Linked DNA regions of Kluyveromyces lactis. The protein of the gene in region 1 purifies or fractionates together with the protein of each later gene. This does not show direct contact. Links are inferred from orthologs where the notes say so. Each region holds a gene or a part of one and is shown in the gene's direction. Other genes may lie near its edges. The genes, in order: TEL1 and TEL2.

Region 1 (9,837 bases):
CTTTCTAGTCTCTAAATTACCAAAGTAGAAATTACCTGTAGAGTCAACAAACCCAACACACATACCTAGCGGAAAGAAGCATATCGCATAAAGATAGAGCGAATATGGTTTTAGGGCAAGAACCAAGTAGGTAAATGCAGCAAGTATACATGATGCTGTCATTACGCCTCGAGACCCCCATTTTTTATGCAAAATATCATTTAAGACCGATGCCGACACATAGCCCATCAATTGAAGGAAAAACACTATCGACATTTGAAGCTCGGTGACATTGTAATACTTAGTAATAACAGGCATCAAAGATCCATTCACTTGATCCGTCATACCAAACATCACGAATAATACCAAACATGTCGCGATTTGTAGGCGGACGACTGACACCTTTTCATAATTGGCAGGATATAGCACAACTTCTTCGCCTTCGTACCATGTCTTGCGCAGCAACTCACTACCGGATTCATCAATTTCAAAAGCTTGCTCTGTATGGATATCATCGCCACCTTTCGGTAAAGTTGAGTTGATCAAAGGGAATGCTGTGCTATCATCGAAGTCATTTAACTCAAAATCTTCCACCTGGACAGATTTTCTTGTCGTTTGGGCATAATCATCTTCGCCCTTCATTATACAAATTGAACTTTTGTCTTGATGAGCTTCTGTAGCAGCCTAATTCTTGTTTCTTAGCAGCAATCTACACAACACCGGCCATTGACTTGTATCTACCAAAATACGTATACGTTCAAGAATATGAATATATATATGCTTCAAAAATAAACGTTTAACCACACTTCGGGTACACATATGTTTTTGTCTTAGAGCTAACAATATGTTAGTAGAACTTTAGCAATTCAACTTACACTTCGTAATTGCAGTAGATACTGATTTCTAACACTCGAATGACTGTTATAAAGAACAAACCAAACCCTAACACCACAGGCAATTACTGTCAGCAAAGTCATCAAAGGCCGAGCGACCCTGCATTTTAGTACGAACACAAGGGTATTTCTCCCATCGACTAATTGTCCGCGGAACCAGACATATCCTGACTGCAATAAGCTATGCCCCGTGAGTATGGAGCCATCTGGCTGTCATTGAGATTTACCTTCAAACTGCTTGTTCTAGGGTTTTTTGAAAATCACCTTCGAAAATCCGGTTCCAGTTAGAGTTTTTCGTACTGGCCGTTTTTACAAGACTTTTTACCTAATTCTGCTAGATATTCCCCTTTTCTCCAGCAGATGGCGGTATATGATACGATTCAGAATAGAAGAGAGGTTTAAGTGTCTTCTTCAGTGACGGAAAGGAGAAACATGATAAGTAAATATAAGTCAATATACAGTCGACAGTGCACTGCGTACTACTGTATTATATACTGTCTAGTTGTTTTGTCTTGCCTTATTGGAAGAAATGCAGTATAATGTCCCATTACTACTAATTATTTCAATTCCTTTTGTTGGTTGAGTTCATACACATGTGGTTTATAATTCTGTCTATCTGTTTACTTCCGGTGTTCCAGTATACATGTTTGTTATCAAAGACTGGATGTCTTTTCATAATCATGTATTTAGTTATATCATGCTTCAATGGACTTGGTGCAACCGATTTGAAGCGACAAATGCAATTCAATGTTGGTTGTAAAGTGTAGCCATGTTTAATCCCGTGGAACGGACAATATGCACATCGATGGTCTTGATGTCCAATGAATATACCGCAGCGGATTTTCTTCAATTCATTTTTTGGGAACCTATCCAATCTTAATGGTTTGTGCCGTACTCGGTAGCTTTTGGACCAAAGATAATATGACGCTGGTTTTTTCTTGTAACAGTAGTTTTCGTATTCCTGGAGGTGGTTGTAGTGCTGTTTCTGTTTTGTTTTAAGTCCAGTTTCCTCGGTGTTGACAGGTATTTGATTCTCAGTCTTGTTTTCATTTGATCTGCATTTGGAGTCGTTCGAAGTTGCAGTATAGTTATAAGTCATAAGAGTTTTAGATATGGGGAGTGAAATTCGAAATATCATAATAAATAAATAAATAAATATATATATGGCTATAACGAAGGGTTATTTCTTGGGAAAAAAAGGGTATACTGTTAAGGTTCTGTCTCCTTTTTTATACACACACTCCATTGTTCTACTGCCATTGAGAGGTACCTTGATTGAAGTGCATTTATGTCTGATGATTTTTTTGTGACTGTCATCGCTTAAAAAGTTGAAAGGCTGAAAAATTGCAACAGCGACAGTATTATGTAAATTCATTGCTCCTATGTATAGTCTCATTAGGTATTTATTAGTTTGGTTTTCGGATCCGGTTTTTCCTCATGACGATTAATCTAAGATCTTGGAGTTTGACGTTTTCTCTGCACAAGGCACATAAACCGTTCCGTCTACCGTTACCTTTGGAACTATTCACCATACCGTACAGACATGTAGTGCAAAAAACATGTCCGCACTTGGTTACTAAAGCCGCTTCTGGAGGTTCCATGCAAATGGGACAGACGTAATCAGCCGCTTTTTTCGTCTCTAAGGGTGTCTCTGACATATCCTTACCAGACTTGTGGCCTTCAGTCTCGTCTTCATCATCTATCTCAATAACCTGCTGTGCTTTAATCTGTTCCTCTTCCGTGAGTACTTTGATGTCATCGTCATCGCCTTCTCCAACGGCCTCGTGCAGTTCTTCTTCTTCTTCTTCTTCTTCTTGGTCTTGTGCTTCTGCTGATTGGTCTTGCACATTTTGGTACGCCACTCCATAATCTGCAGTAGAAATGATTGCAGGCTCTTCATTATCAGATACCTCTTGGGGCGGTGCGGTGGCGAGATTGCTCTGCTCTGTAGTGTCGCCTATTTCAGTGACATGTTGTGTTTCTGAAAGTATGTCTGCATCATCAATACTTACGATGGACGTCCGACTTATTCGTCTCGACTTCCTTCGTAGTTCTTCTTCTTCTTCTTCGATATCAGTTTCGGACTCTTGCAATTCGTGGCGCCTGCGCCCTGTAACTATTCGTTCATCCTCATCCTCACCAGTGCGGACAGTGCTCTGTCCCATAGAAAGACCAGGTACCAGCTGTAACTGATCCGTAGTATCAGAAGAACTAACTACCCGAAGACTGTCATCTTCATTCACCATTCCAAGTTGATTTATTTGTAAGAACACTTAATACAGTCTGGACATTAACTACCCTTATTAATACGCCGATGACTCTCTTCAGGTAAAGAGTAAAAAAGTATCAGAAGTATGGATTTAAACTTAAAAAAAAAGGCACTGAGTATACCAGTGGTAGTGAGATATGGCCAAATTTATAGTATGATAGAATTTTCTATACTTCAGAAACCCGTTGGATCATTCGTCTAATGATTTTAAGTCTTTGGTAGCTGAATTTTTGATGTGTATGATTCCAAATGTCTCTAACCTCAATGGAATATTTTGGTTCTTGATTGCTTATATTGAACACAGAGGGAAACCATAGGTGTGACTGTCCTAACTCTTTCCTTTTTCATTCGGACCCATACACCAGTACACCATATGGCAACGAACCCATACACCTCCCCACGCACATTGTATTCCTATTTCTTTTAAAAATACTAACACGATTGCCGTTTTAGGCAGCATTGGGCTTATTTTTTTGCTCCCACAGAAACACAGTACAGAGCTATCCAGAATTGAAAGCTCCTTGAGTTTGTCATTATGGACTGGTGAGAATATCAGATTACAGGTTTTGATAATTTTCAAGCCATTGGTTGAATTCGATGGAGTAAGATAGTTATTAACAAAGGCTTGATTTGTGTACGTTCTGCTTTATTTCAGATTCTAACTCATTAACCAATCCACACCAATAAACAACAAAGATGTCAGGTAACGGTGCTCAAGGTACTAAATTCAGAATTTCTGTATGTTAGAAACGTTTTATTTGAACGAATAAGCAAACTCAAAAGCGAAGCAGATAGGCGGGATACCAGAGAGATTAGCGAATCATAACACGAATAAAACGTCATGAGAGACAGATTAGGTCGGGTGTTAGAATAGAGTCTTGAAAATATGTGACCCATCCAACTCGAGTGAAGAATAGTCAAAACTGAATGGGAATATGTAACCCCAAGAAAATGAAGAAAAAAACCGACTCGCGATATACTGAACATGCAACTATACCATCAACGACGTTTAGCTAAATGATCCTGAAACTTTCAACTTTCAACACTATCAGGTTTAAGTGCTTTTATTTTCATGAATCAACTGTGTTACCAAATAATTGATATTATGAGGTGCAAAAGAACTTGATGACTAGTCTCGATGTGATGTCCCTCGCAGTTTGAATTCAAATATATGAACTATTTTACTAACAAATTTTATGAATACATTCATTCTTAAGGAATGGGTGTTGTCAATTTTATTTTAACAGTTAGGTCTACCAACTGGTGCCATTATGAATTGTGCTGACAATTCTGGTGCTAGAAACTTGTACATCATGGCCGTCAAGGGTTCTGGTTCAAGATTGAACAGATTGCCAGCTGCATCTCTAGGTGATATGGTTATGGCTACTGTCAAGAAGGGTAAGCCTGAATTGAGAAAGAAGGTTATGCCAGCTATCGTTGTCAGACAATCCAAGGCTTGGAGAAGAAAGGACGGTGTCTTCTTGTACTTCGAAGACAATGCCGGTGTCATTGCTAACCCTAAGGGTGAAATGAAGGGTTCCGCTGTTACTGGTCCAGTCGGTAAGGAATGTGCCGACTTGTGGCCAAGAATTGCTTCCAACTCTGGTGTTGTTGTTTAAATTAACCCTATCCAACTTTACTTAAAAAATAATAGTCATTATATGTGTAAATTTAAACAATATTTAGATCGAATAAATCTGGAGTATTAGTTAAAGGTATTCTCAAAGCTTCTGCATTTCAATACGGTTTTAACTGTGAGATATCTCATTACCACGTCTATTTACAGTTTTTCCTAACTTTACATTTGCATGAAATAATGCAAATAATGTAAATAAAGAAATATCAAAGATAAACGTCTGTCTATAGAAAGAGAGAACCGAACGTTATATTGAAGATAAACTGCAACAAATGTCTTCGTTACATAACTAATGAGCTTTAGCTTTGAGGTGTCTGTCATCGTAACAGGACTGTCATCTCTAAAATTGAAGACTCGTAATGATTCTCTCGATAATCTAAATTTACTGTTGAAAACCTCACCAACTGAGGTTCCCGTGAAAGCGTTCTCTCCCATATTGGATGCTATTATAACCATTATAGAGTCCGAAAAGACTAGATATGAAAAAACCAGATTAGAGAATGGCAAGGATGCTAGGATAGAACTATACGAGAACAGATTGGGCTCTGCCGCTTACACTTTAAGGTTGTTTGTGGAAAGAAATTGTGAAAGATTCAAACCTAAACATATCAAACTGTTATCTATGACGTTATTTGAATTGATGACTAGACCACGTTCAAGATCACTGATCACATCCGTGGCAGATCACCTAACTTACTCTCTTGTGGCTCTATGTGGTTCCCCTGTTTTTCAATGCAATTTTGAATTGCACCAATGGATTTCACTTTCCCATGATATCAGCGATGCAGTAACATACCATCTTGATGTTTCATATAATGATAAAATAATAGCGAACCTTCTCCAAACATTACTAGAGCTCTTTCAAATCGACACAATAGGAATTGAGGACATTGCTACTCCTGTCGTAAGAATGACAATCAAATATCTTACTTTGATAACAAAGGAAAACACTAATACAAGAACCATACTAACATTGGTCAATTCAGCTATATTAAGACTACATCTGATAAGATTTCAGGACGTGATAAATCTTAGCTATTACACAATTAAGCATCTACTAAGAATTAAATTAACCAATGAAAATAATATAGGGGAGATCGCGAGATTCAATTTGATGATATCAGAAGTGCTGTACAATAAAACTCCGATAATTGTAGGCGAGGACAAGGATCAGTCATATGTTAACAAAGAGAAATTGCTCCCTGCGCTTCAAGACTATTTGATTCATTCGTTGAAACAATACGATCATACAAAGTTCACACTAGACTGTGTTACCTTCATAGATGGTCCTGCATCTTCAAAATTCAATTGGTATAGCTTTTCTGATATTTGCCAGAATGAAAAGAATTGTCTAGAAGATATATGGCTTTATGCTCTGTCTCTGACAATGATGCTGAAAGCTAATTACCAATTCCTAGAATATAAAGAGAGTTCTTTAGCCGGAGGTTCACTACTTTTTAAGAGAAGAAAAGTAAAGGATACATTCGCCCATATGTTAAAGGATTCATTGACATACGACGATTTCCTTTGTAATTGCATTGATAGTGATTCTATCAAAATCAAGACAACCGGTTTGCATATTGGATTGCTTTATCTTTCAATTTTTGACTGTAGTAACATTGAGTTGTCTCATTTGAAAGAGGAATTGTTTCGGTGCTCCCAAGATGTTAGATTCATGTTATTATGTCTCAGTTGTTTCATTCCGATGTGCTCTCAGAGCAAAAATTCATTCAGTCCGGAAGAGGAAATACGACTGTTTAAGATGTGTGTACCCCTTTTGAAAACAAGTAACGGGTGCAAAACTGCTTGTAGTTTACTCTACAAATTAATTGAATTTCAGTTAGAACCAATTAAAGACAAGAGTGTGCTACAGCAAATGTCAGATCTGTATTTGTTATCTGATGTAAATGGCCCTGCATTAGTTTGTAATGAATCTTTCAAATTTTGGATGCATCTTCACTATTATGCAAAAACCTTTCAGACCGTTAAAAGTCCGATTACGTACGTTTTTTCTTGGCTATACGCTAGGTGGGATCAGCTTTTTACTCTGGTTGTGTCGGAAACGCACTTTTACGTATTTGCATCCTGGTTATGCGGCTGCACGCATACTACTTTCCCCACTTTCGAATATAGTAGGCCATCTTTATTTCATGACACATGGATGGGTTTGTCTGAGGAAAGGGCAAGTATAACTGGCTTCTCCTTAACAATTAGAACGATTGAACTGCGAAAGCAAAAGTTTGCTCCTGTTTTCTGCGAAGAAGCCGAACGTGTGAGGTTCATGTACAAACTTTTTGATTTAATTGATGAAAGTGCAATTTCAGCTACTTTCATTGATAGGGCAATCCAGGTGCTCCGTACCATCGAAAGTCTCGTTGGCCAAAGAAACTACACCGACTACTTGTCAAGATTTAAAGAGATATTCCTTTTATCATCCTCGGTTATCGATTTTGGTCAGAACGCTCAGATTTTCTCGGTAATGGAAGGCATGATTTCACTCAAAGATTCTTTACTTCGACACATCATTATGGATATTTTACCAACAGAGAAAGTTTTATCAACCTTTATGCAGAGGCTTGCAGAACATACTCAGCAGACTTCACATCAGGATGAATTTTTAAGTCACCATGCAAAGCCTGAAGCAGGAAGCATCCCTATTTCCGAAATGATAGAAATAGGTTTTGAGTTCGCACTACAAGTACATTCAGTATCAAAAGCATTTGATCCTTTATCATCATTTATTCTTTATTCGAAAAAGTTATCATTGCCAATGCTGAACAGAACATTGCCGAATTTGATTACATATCTGGAAAACAATGAAAATGAAATTCCAACTGCCAGCCTTGAAAGACTAACTCAATTCTTGGGTTCCTCACTATTAGCTCCAAGCTTTGACACATCTTCGACCTCAATGAAATTACTGACAAGATATCTTGAAGGAATATCAAAATACTGGGTTATGGAAGATCGAAGTCAAGTTCTGACTGCCGACTGCAATGACATTTTTGATTGGATTGTGACACAATATGACGAATCATCGTTCAGCGGTGTGGAAGCTTTATATGAGCTCGCTCGTTTTATGACTCTTTTATTGGAAAAGTACAACCTCTCCAATAGTTCCATATCTGGAGGCAAACAAAGAGTGTTCAAGATACTCAGTGGTTGCATTACTAGGTTGCCGAAATACTTGACGAACAGGGTAGTATCTCTGCTCGGAACCTATGTCAAAAGGGTTGGTGTTACTAATCAACGTATATTATTCAAAGAACTACTTCAGAGATTCAATCCTCCTCAAGAGTCGGTTGAAACTGCTGCATTTTTTTCGTTGACATGTACGAAATTATCCCTTATCAATGAGTTTTATTTGCTCAACTCTATCTTACATCTGTTAGATAACACAAACTTCTCTCATCTTCTCTTATATGTTGAAAAAAGTTTGGATACGATCTCAACTTTTTATGGCCTTTGTTCTAAACAAGATCTCTTTCATCAATGCAGATATTTTATTATAGACCAGTGGTTTACAAAGTCTGCCAAATCCAAGATATATGAACCGAGCATATGGAAAGTGGAACTTTTTGAGTTTGAGTTTGACGAGTTTTGTATCAGATATCAAATGGAGCTAACGAGTTTTTTCTTCGCAAAATCATCAACCTACTATTACATTATAGACCATCTAAAGAAATTACTGAACTTGAAACAAGAGGCGCTTCTTACTAAATACATAGCTCCTACTATTGCCTTATCATATGTTGATTCAGGCGTGAAAGACCTCATCTTTGATATAGCCGCGGACCTGTTAGGCCGAAAATTCCCAAACGTTCTCACTATTAATTTGGATGACGTCATTTACTACTTTATCAAGTTATCAGATCTCTCCAACCTTGCTACTTCGTTGACCTTTTGGTGTAAAATTTTCAATTCGAGCCGATTCACAAACATGCTGCATTATAATTCATCGAACTGTATGCAGCTGAATGATAATGTTGCAATTGCCTTTCCAATTGTCTATAAAGTGTTGAAAAAGAATGTTTTTACTGATATTGATGATGGAAGAAGCTTTGAATATGTGATACAAAGACTTGTTATGGATTTACAAAACTGCGTACTAATTGATCAAAAAATTCGTGTGTTAAGGCAAATAAAATTATTAGTATTATTTTTTGAGCATAAGCTAACTTTGTTCAAAGATATCGATTTTTTCCTGTTGGAACTATCGAAGTTTTTATTCAACGCCGACATTTTTTCAGAAGTGTATGGTTTCATATTGGATTTACTTGAGTTTTCCGCGAACAATAAAATGGATGTTGCCCGATCATTGACAGAACTCATGAGATTCTGCTTTACTGTAACTGATTCAAATGTCAAAAAAACGTTATTCCCTAAAGTGAATCCAGTTCTGTTCAACTTTTGTGTTTCTGATGGCAAACAGCTGTATGCTACCTGTTATGCGTTATTAACCCTAGAAACAAACTCTTTCGGATGGAATGATATTGCACAAGTCTTCAAATTCCAGGAAGTCGACCGAACTTCGGTCTCTCTTTTATCTGACCTATTTGATAATTTTGATTATGATGGGTCGTTCGACGCAAATTTAATCTCTCCCACTACTATTCAGAATTTGATATCTATACCGCGAGATAATGCAAGAGTTTCCGATAAATTCAGAAGGTGGCTTGGAAATATTCTAGGTGAAATTGTTTATACAAGGCCTTACGATCACATAATTCCACATCATTGTTCCACACTTGACTTGGAATCTGGTATATCTGGTCTACTGCAAATTTTATGGGTACAATATCAGAAAGCAGACGATATAAGCCTGCGTTTTCTGCTTGATCATATCCAGTCGATTATCTTACAGGATGAATCTGTCCTAGCAGAAATCAGTTCTGACAGTTACTCTTCCTTGGTGAATTTAAAAAACTTAACTGATATAAGCTGGGAAAAATTTGAGAACTGTCATGGTATGCTCAATATTAAACTGGGTGAAACCTTCTTAACCCTGACTTTCACTGACAGATCTTGTCACTATCAAAAGTGGATTTCCGCCTTTATAT
Region 2 (9,597 bases), on another chromosome or scaffold:
TTGAAGGAAGATGCGTGTGTAGTATTGATTGGAAGCCCTTTTTGAAGATTTCAAATTGCTGCTGATCAACTATTCTTGGGTTAAAAACTCCTTTGAACCCACAAAACCATGAATCCTCAATTTTAGTGAGAAGAGTTTGGAGTCGATTGTTCAAAGCATACCTTTCATCCCACCAGTTCTTCCTTTGTTCTTTGGTGGTAATGACCGAGGTAACTTCAATTGAAGTGGTACAATTGTTGGAAGAAATGATATGGTTTAACTCATCGAGGGCGGCTTCAAAACCCAAGACCTCTTCCGAAAGGTCTCTGGAATTATGACGATTCAAAGGTAAACGTAAATGAAGGTGTTTGTTGCGTACTGTATCGAATCTAGTAATTAATAGATCACCAGTGAGCTGGCAAATGTCAATCTCTACCACATTGAATGAGAGATGAGACCATTTTTTCCCAAACTCTGAATGAATAGTTGCCAAATTCATATTACATTCTGACATTTCAACGGATTCAGTAGCAATAGTTTCGGGTATAAAAGAATCATATATCTCTGTTCCCATATCAGAGAAAGCTTTTTCATATAGTAATGACAATGATCTTGGGTGATCTCGTAACCTGAAATTCTGCCCAAGTTGGCTTTCCAGCCTTGTTTTGGTACTCATGTTGAAGAATAGTGACAATGTCAATGAATGTAAGCTTGCTAACTCTCGAATTTCATGAGCTTTTAGGGCCTTGATGTCAGCATTTTGAATGAAGCGATCTGTCATTTGTAAATTATTGATTGCAGTGGAACGATCAAAAGAATAGGCAAGTGACTTACCCCTAGGAGTAAGAGATGATGGGCGGGGTGAGTCATTCACGCTTTTTAAAGTCTGTACACTAGTTAGTGATAGTGATTTATGCCTCCCATCAACTGAAATACTATCACAGTCATAGCATGCAGGAATAGCCATCACTGATTCGCCCATGCTTCTGAAGAAGGTATCAGTGGCCATTTGCTTCTGGACCTTGTTGTACAGGATTTTTGCATTGTTCATACATACCATTGCTTCAAAATCTTTTCGTGTTGTTTCAGTTGAAGTTTTTTGACAGCTTCTCAATAACCAATACTCGACAATGTCTGAAATAAACACGTCATCTCCAAAGAACAACCTCATAGAATTATTCAGTTTCTCGGATTCCTTGTTAAAATACAAGAATGTGGCCAAAGCCTCTATGTTTGCACTTCCATCAATCTGGTCGAAGGCAGCATTCATTTTTGTTAGTGATAAAGAGGCATTTTCTGATTCCTCTATCAGCTGGTAATAGGAACATAGGCAGGAAAACATGTTGAAAAGAGCTGTTGGGTTATCCAACGACCCTATAACCTCTTGATATTCGGTTATGAAAAATGCACAGTCTTTGAAAATACCGGTGTGGACATAAATGCTAATAATTCTTTGGAAAATATCGTCAAGAAGGCTTATTACCTCAAATCGATACTTGGCAGAGAGCACCGCTTCTTTCTTTATCAAGAGTCTGCATATTTTGAGCGAGCGTTTGCATTCTTTCAAAGACATATAGACGTTGTTTTGAGAGAGTTGAAGAATGGATGCGCAACGAGTAATTTTGATGTTTAACATTAGAATCTTCAAATATTCAGCGACAGGCATTTTGGTTTTATTCTGAATGTCAAATAGATTGGGTCTAAATCTCGTTAAATCATCATGAATTAACTTATTGAAGGTTTCGATGTCTTTTTTCCACAGTACCTGGGTTAATAGAATGCATAATGTTGTATGTAGCTGATCCACATTCATCTCAGTGAAAGACGACGGCTGGTATTTCAGTGCGGAAACCGTTTCCATGATGGAAAGTTCTACCTTAGGCCCAATTTGCAAGCCAACATATGACTCCAATAGCCAGTATGAAATCAGGTCTGGTATGGATGCATATCTCTGTACGCTTCTTAGTTGTGTACATATTTCAGCAGTAAGTTTGTATATTTTGTTTTGTAAGAGAAAAGGCATCATAGATTCCAAGAGCATAAGCTCTAAATCTGAGAGTTTTGTTTCGTTTCCCTTGTTCACCCATTTCTCTAAGTATATATTGGAGACCTTTTGCAATTTGAGACAGCTGTTTCTGTTCATTTCAGAATTCAAACAGAACATTGATTTTATTAAGACTTCATATTTCGAAAATGAATCCAATGTGTTGATTTTCATGTCGATTTGAAGGTCAGACTGTTTTACATCTGTGACAATATCAGTTAGCATCTGACACAAATGAGACCACTTGAATTGGTAAGAAAAATGAGAGCCAGAATATAAAAGACACAACATTGGCTCTGAAGAAAAGTTGAAGATTTCAAATTTGTCTAGTTTCATCCTGCGAAAGCATGGAACTAAACTCTTTCTTGTCAAATTCCACATATCTTGGAGTGTATTTTCTTTGAAGATCATGAAAACGTTGCATACGTATGAAAATAGCAACTTTTGAACATTTCTATCTTGGCAGCAACCAATAATTCTCTCGAACTTTTTAAAATGCTCTAAAATATTCGACGTTCGTAAATATGCTCTGTAATTGACCATGGCGGCATGTTCTAAGAATAGAAGCTTTCGTTTCGTAACAAAACAATTGTATAGAACAGCCGCAACATTATCAGTCCTTTTGAAGTCCTCAAATGATAAAAATATTTTGGATAGGTAAACAAGAACATAAATTACAGCTTCCTCATTCAGGTCTTTAATGGAATTATTGACAGAAATGATTAGACTATCACACAATCTCGAGGATGATTTGTTTAAGGCAGCTTGATACAAAAAAGGTCGTAGAAGTGCATCGATCTTACCTGCAGAAAAACTCTGGAGGCGCAATTGATTTCTTATTTCCGTGCAAACGTCCTTACCTATAACATCAGTCCTCAAAAATTCGGTCAAGTTCACTTGATCGTTCTCCATATGTTTCGTATACTCATCATAGTATTTCGGTAAATAGATGTGGCAGTTTACAGATATATCCTTTCGAAGTAATTTGGTAATTTGTCTTTGAAACGTCGAAGAATCCATATTCTTTATGTAATTACCAAATTCGAGTTTGAACTGATTCACATACTGAACGAATTTGAGTCCAAACAAAGGCTTGAATCCAGTTAGCAATGTAAAGAAGTTTAATATTAGCTTCACCAAAGCGTGGACTTTCACATTAGGGTCTTTCAGAAGGTATCGCGTATCATGAGCAAAGCATTCCAAAAGACTTTCCGCGTGTCTTTCTGTCGTTCCTGTTTTCAATATCAACTGCATTGTTATTACTTTTAATGTTGCTAAGTAATTCTCATTGCCCGCAGAAAAATCACTTAACAAAACGTCATCAATACCTTTGGCCTTAATTAAATTGGTTTCGTTGTATAGCATTAAGATCTGATTGCTAGCTTGTGTCAATTTGTTTCTCTCCATCAAAAAAATAATCCAATTCATATGCTTTTTCGGAAGTTCCTGAAGTTTCTTCAACTGATGACGCCAGATCAATTGGCGATATAACTGAATGAAACTATCATTTACTTGAATGTAGTTCTCAAAATCTTTGCTCTTATTATCCACAAAATCGTACAATTTCTTCCAGTCAATCAGGGAGTTGGTATTATTCTCCTGTGCTGTAGTTATCTTCGAACTATTTGACGTAGCCTGCCATTCCGTATCGTATTTTGTTGATCCAGCGTTTAACGGTCTTCTAACTCTGTTGTCAACTTTCATATCACTCAAGACACCTTTCATTTCGATATGACTGCTGTCTGTTTCAAACGTACTACAGTATGGGCTAAAGCCTGGCTACCCAATATCCACGAAGTTGGCGGGCTGATATGTGTATAGTCTCTAGTTCTTTCTGCAATCTGCCACTTTCAAGTACAGAATCTAATATGTAAACAAAAACAATTCTTTATTTGTGTTATTGTAAAGATTGACATTTAATATGAGATGAATAAAAGACTATGAGATGAAAACCTATAGATGAGACAAGCATTGCAAAGCTGCTAAAGTGCTGCTGACGTGATAGATTGTATATTATAGCGCACAATGTCCGGGATTGATAGTACTTTGTTGAATGAGAAATGTGATAAAGATACCATTTATCAGGTACTAGAACGAATGTCATCAAAGAAACAGCATTCTAGTAACGAAATACTCCCGATAATCAAGAATGTGGTACCAATATATCCATCGCTACCGAGAGAATTAAAGATGGCACTACGCAGGCTATGCGGTAATAATTACATATTCATATCATTGGTTATTGAGTATGCAAAAGAATTGGGTAAGAATCGTGAGACGTCAATATTCTACGGCTTTTTAACGGATGTTCTTAAGTATGAGAGTGATTGTCTATTCAATTACTTAGAGCATTCGTCAAGAAGAGATCTCCCTTTTATCAAATCGATTCTGTTTGGAAGCAGATGTTATAACGCTTTAAGCAGCAGTATTTCCATCGTTGAATATTTAAAGTTTATGAAGATGCAATGGGAATTTGTCTTTAAAGAGACGAAGCAATATGATAAGACGCATCTCGAAATGTTCGTTTCATGTCTACAGCTCAATATTCCTTATGGTGTTGATATATTCATTGAAGGGCTTGCTACTACTAGTGAATTTTCATGGAATGCTTTGATTATGATGTTATCAAAGGGGACCTCAGTTCAACAGAGGAGATTTTTCATGTATCATTTGGTCCCGTTCCTTGAAAAAGTAACTAATCCTGATAACAGCTCTACCATTTTCACACTACTATCCCAGTTACCATTCGATATCCCAACTAGCATAGATTGCTTCAAATGGGGAAATCCGTATTTTAAAATTGTTTACTTGCATGGTATGTCAGAAGCGAAACGTGCACAGCTCTTCAGAGAATTACTACCATGTTTTGAACTGATGGATTTATACACAGATGATTCACTCGCTGAAATCTTGGTAATGATATTAGATGCCATGTCTAAGGATTCCAGAGATGAACTATCGCATGATGCAATTTCCTTGAATTTTGTCACCAAGAGACTTCATTCTGAGGATCATCTGGTTAGGGAGCGTACTATGTTTGTTGCCAAGAAACTTACAAATGATCAGCTTCAATATGAAAGCGATTTTACAATCGATTTGCCTCGAATTGAACTAATCAAGCTATCCAAACTTGAATTTCCCATTAAGGAAGGACTACAAAATCTGCCAAAAGGGAACTCTACAAAGAATGAACTTGTACAGCAATTTAATACCATAACTTTGCAGGACAGTGACGATGAATCTGATGAAGAAGATTCTAGAGACATCTTGTTCCTCAAAGATCTTTTGCTGGAATTCGAGAAAGTTATCAAGAATGATGGGTCCGAACTTAGATTGCTAAAGGAAACTGTGAAGTTAGTACGACAGAAGAAGAACTTCCCAACAGAAGTATCTTTTTATTCTAAAGAACTCCTCAAAAAGATAGCCACCATATCGAACAAGTTTGACGAAAAATCATTTGAAGAATGGAAGGCTAATGCATTAGTTAGCATATTGGTTGTATGTCCAGACAAGATTGTCGATCTTTATGCAATTCTCTTCAATAACGAGTTATCGTTGCAACAAAGGATGGTAATCTTGACATCTGCAGCATTGAGTGCAAGGGAACTACGGGGTTTTGATGATGAATTTGTGGTGAAACCTAAATACGATTTTCCTACTAATCGATTACCATGGGATGAATCGGCCACTGAACAGCAACCTGAAAATAATAAGATACAAGATATTACTGAAATAACAGGAAGCAAGGTTACTTGGAGATCAAAACGTTTAGAGACTGATAGTAAGATTACACAACAGCAGAATAATTTTAGGAAGTACGCTACACTCTTCTTCTATCCCTTGGCACATGCTTGGTTGAACGGAATTAACCTTGGTGCATTCGATAAAGTGTTCAAGAGACACTACATATCTATGCTCAAGATCATTTTAACTTGTGCAAGTCCTCATTATGAGCTAGAAGAGATGCAAATTTTGATGCAAGAAATCCTTTCGGATGCTGTGAAACAACAAGTTCAAACCTCTTAAGACTCATTGAATGACAAAATCTGGGGAATTCAATGGAGCCTATGGTTAGAGGAAAAAAAAATTTTCATCAAATTACTACCTGCACACGCAATGTATATCTCGACATATTTGACTTCATAACCTATTTACACTGTTAAACCGTCTCGAGCGTGCAACCAAAGGTTTCATTGCTTTCCCATAAGCAGTTAACGAGTTTAGGTGCCCCAGCGCATTGGTCACGTGATTTCCCGAAGCTTCTCTTTTAAGGTAAAGAAAACGCTCAAAAGTTCGGAATAAGACGCTGATCATTACAAACAACCATTCACTTCTGCTCACCGCCAATCTACCGACACGTTAGATCTGGGTAACAAGTAGCTACTTGCGTCAGCCAATGAAACATGGGATATGATATTATATCGCTGTTATTCAATGGCATTAAATCAATTCTGGCATTGATGACGATACTTTTCGTTACGCAACAGATTATATTCAATCTTGCGTTACTATACTTCAATGCTAGGATTGTCATTTCTAAGCTCCAGATTGGATTTTTATTTGGACGAAGCATTTATTGGTTGCATCTTATTTACAAAGGCTACAGTTTTAAGGTACGGAAGGTGTTACTACTCTCACTTTTTTCTAAGATTGAATGTTGGGACGTAAATGTGGTATGTGAATTTGAAGAGCATATACCGAAGGAGATATCGGATAATCAAGATATTAGTCTTCTGATACCTATCAGCTTATCCAGATGGAAAGTGCTATGTAAGCTTATGCCAATTGAGCTTCGTTTGGTAAACGTTAATTTCTCATTACCGACTGTTAACTTTTTGACGGATTTGGCAGTTTTAAAGCTGGAGTACAGCTTCGAAACGGATCGGGTAATGCTAGTTGCCTTCTTCCATTCAATAAAGCTGGGGAAAGTTGCAAGCCTCTCTCAACTCGAATTGTCGTCACATTTCCATTGTGTTCATGATGATGCCGGTCTAAAGTTGCACAGATGGACCAGTGGTGTTAACATAGGTGGATTGAAACTGGATACGACAGTACGTGAAAAGATGTATCGTCCAATTGGAAAGACCCGCTCTAGCGAAAAGACAATAAGAAGATACAAGAAATTCCTTGAAACGCTTGAACTTTTCACTGTTCAATTAGAGAATACTAAAGTGTTTCTCCCAAATGATCAATCATGTTTTGTATCCAATGCCTCACTGCATATGAATCCGTCTCGAGAACTAGATAGTTCTGTTGAAAACTATAATATTCACAACCTTACAATTTCGATAAACTCTCTGGTATACACTTTAATTGCTGGAGAGGATATTAGGATACCAGTCGTTAATGTTCTACTTACATGTGACGTCATTGAATTTGCTGAGCAAGACTTTAATGTTCAGTCGTTCACTGGTTCCTGTACTGTCAACATAATTGACCCTCGTGTAACATTATCATTATGCAACCTCCGCGATTTGTTTTTGAAAACACAAACATCGGCGGATACCAAGAATACACCAAACCAACTTGAACTCCCACCAATTATTCTCAAGATAATTATATCCAACAGTAACCTTCTGCTGAAAGAGGATACTAAGAACTACTATCATTTGATTTCAGATTCGATAAGTTCGGAACTTAACCTTCAATCGTTAGTGCCTTCTGCTTATAAAAATGATACTACTGATCTTTACAATACTTTATCAAGTACGGTAAAACTTGAAAGGTTTACAGTAATCTATAATCTTCCCTCAAAGGGTGAGAGACGCAAGCATCAACTCATTTCTTTCGAGAAATGGCATTTCGTTTGTGATAGATACGGTTCGAACCCTGATACGGTTGCTAGCACACTTCACAATATACAAGTCAATCTTGATGAGCTTGTAGTCATTGATGGTCTTCTTAAAGTTGTGAAATCATTCACTCCAGCTGAACCAAAGGAGACTCTCCAGCCTTCTCAAGGAACCAATCATCGCTTCTCATCTTACCAACTTCAAATTGAAGCTAAGGGATTGTGTTTTACGCTATCAGCAAAAGACTATTTACCATCAAACATGCCAAATATAGATCATTCAATTGTACCTCTGAGGGATGGAACCTATAAAATCGGTTTAGAAGTTGATCAATCACATATGTTGTTATCTGGAAACTCCTCACATGCCACTTTTACAGAATTGAGGCTGTATAAATCATCAAGTGACTTCGAAAAATCATACTCGAACGACATTATATTCCTCGATAGGCTTGAAATCAATCCTTCGAGTACTGCTATTGTGATTGACATACCTAAAATGAAATATGAGTTTGACATTAACCTCTTGTGGTTCTGGTTCTATTTCAAGCATTCAGTGATTAATCGGTTTAAATCATTCAAAACTGAGAAACGTGCTTCCCATTCCTCTAACCGCCCAATCGAAATTAACATCAACAACTTCTTTACGGTGCTCAAACTACCGCAGAATATGACGTTGTTATTATTCTTAACTAATATGAAATATACTTCTGGTGCTCATTCAGGTTTTTCTGTTGAAGACCTTGATCTTCTTGTCAAATCAGTATACACAAAGAATCACGCTGTCTACGTTCCACTGCTCAAGATGGCCTTAATCAAATTGTACAACTCGAAACAAGACGGCTATCAGTTGTCTTCAGAATCAATGACTTTGAAGATGGAATACCATTTCAGATTTTATACTATTGTCGACACGATATCTACCACAGTAAAAGCATTCAAACAGTTAAGATCAGCGTTTAATCACTTAGACTCCTTTAATATCCTTTACCCCAAAGCTGATCCTCCAATTATAATGAAGCACATCAATGTCAAGACCAAAACTCTAACTATCACAGTCAATGAAGATTTGTTTGAGCAAGAATTAGGGTTGATTTATAAAGTGGGCGTCTTGGAACAAAGGGAACGTCTAGAAAAATTAACATTATTTCTAAGTTCAGACAAGCTTGCCGGAACTGAAGAATATCTCAATCAACAGTATACCAGACTTTATGAGAATTTTTCAACTTCTTGGATAGCAAGATATCGAGTTGCTAAAAGGAAGTTTCATGGTGCTGAATCTTATGCAGTCAATAACACCATTTTAGACTACGAATTTTCCACGTTTTCTGTTGACAACGATGTAAATTCACTCAAAATTTCCATTGAAGATGTAGATCTGAAACTTCAACCGCCATCGTTCCCTCTAGAAAGATATTCGGAGTTCCTTTACAAGCACGGTAAAGGCATGCCATTGGATACAAAATACAGTACAAATGTTCCTGTGGGAATTAATTTGGAGACGAAGAACTTCTCTTTTCTACTACGAGACTATTCGCTTCCTGCTTTGTTCTTTCCGAACACGAACGTCACGGGTGATATAATATTTGCAGAGGCACTTGGATCCTCCAAGTCATGGCGGCCAATCTTTGTGCCGTTTTCGACGCTCAGTGCAGATCATAAAGAGCTGCCAGATTCTATCTTCGGATCGGATATAATAAGGACTTTGACACCAATCAAAACATTCATGGATATTAGATTTACTATAGACTCTGATACTCCAACACAGATTACCTGGGGTAAA

The links.
Region 2: the proteins of TEL1 (region 1) and TEL2 purify together in Saccharomyces cerevisiae (affinity purification with western blotting; 4 studies listed by BioGRID). This does not show direct contact. The link is inferred for Kluyveromyces lactis from reciprocal best matches to the Saccharomyces cerevisiae genes TEL1 and TEL2.

What each region holds. Positions count from the first base shown.
Region 1 is NC_006041.1:634,672-644,508, reverse strand, and holds the start of TEL1 (DNA-binding protein kinase TEL1), read left to right. Parts: upstream 1-5,069; coding exon 5,070-9,837. Other genes in the region: BSC6 (Bsc6p), read right to left, coding at 1-621; SPR6 (Spr6p), read right to left, coding at 1,435-2,010; SUMO-targeted ubiquitin ligase complex subunit SLX8, read right to left, coding at 2,279-3,118; KLLA0_E06997g (60S ribosomal protein uL14), read left to right, coding at 3,838-3,879, 4,389-4,760. UniProt on the Saccharomyces cerevisiae protein: Serine/threonine protein kinase which activates checkpoint signaling upon genotoxic stresses such as ionizing radiation (IR), ultraviolet light (UV), or DNA replication stalling, thereby acting as a DNA damage sensor.
Region 2 is NC_006040.1:1,277,847-1,287,443, forward strand, and holds TEL2 (Tel2p), read left to right. Parts: upstream 1-4,048; coding exon 4,049-6,049; downstream 6,050-9,597. Other genes in the region: ESP1 (separase), read right to left, coding at 1-3,748; HOB2 (Hob2p), read left to right, coding at 6,427-9,597. UniProt on the Saccharomyces cerevisiae protein: Part of the TTT complex that is required to stabilize protein levels of the phosphatidylinositol 3-kinase-related protein kinase (PIKK) family proteins. Required for telomere length regulation and telomere position effect.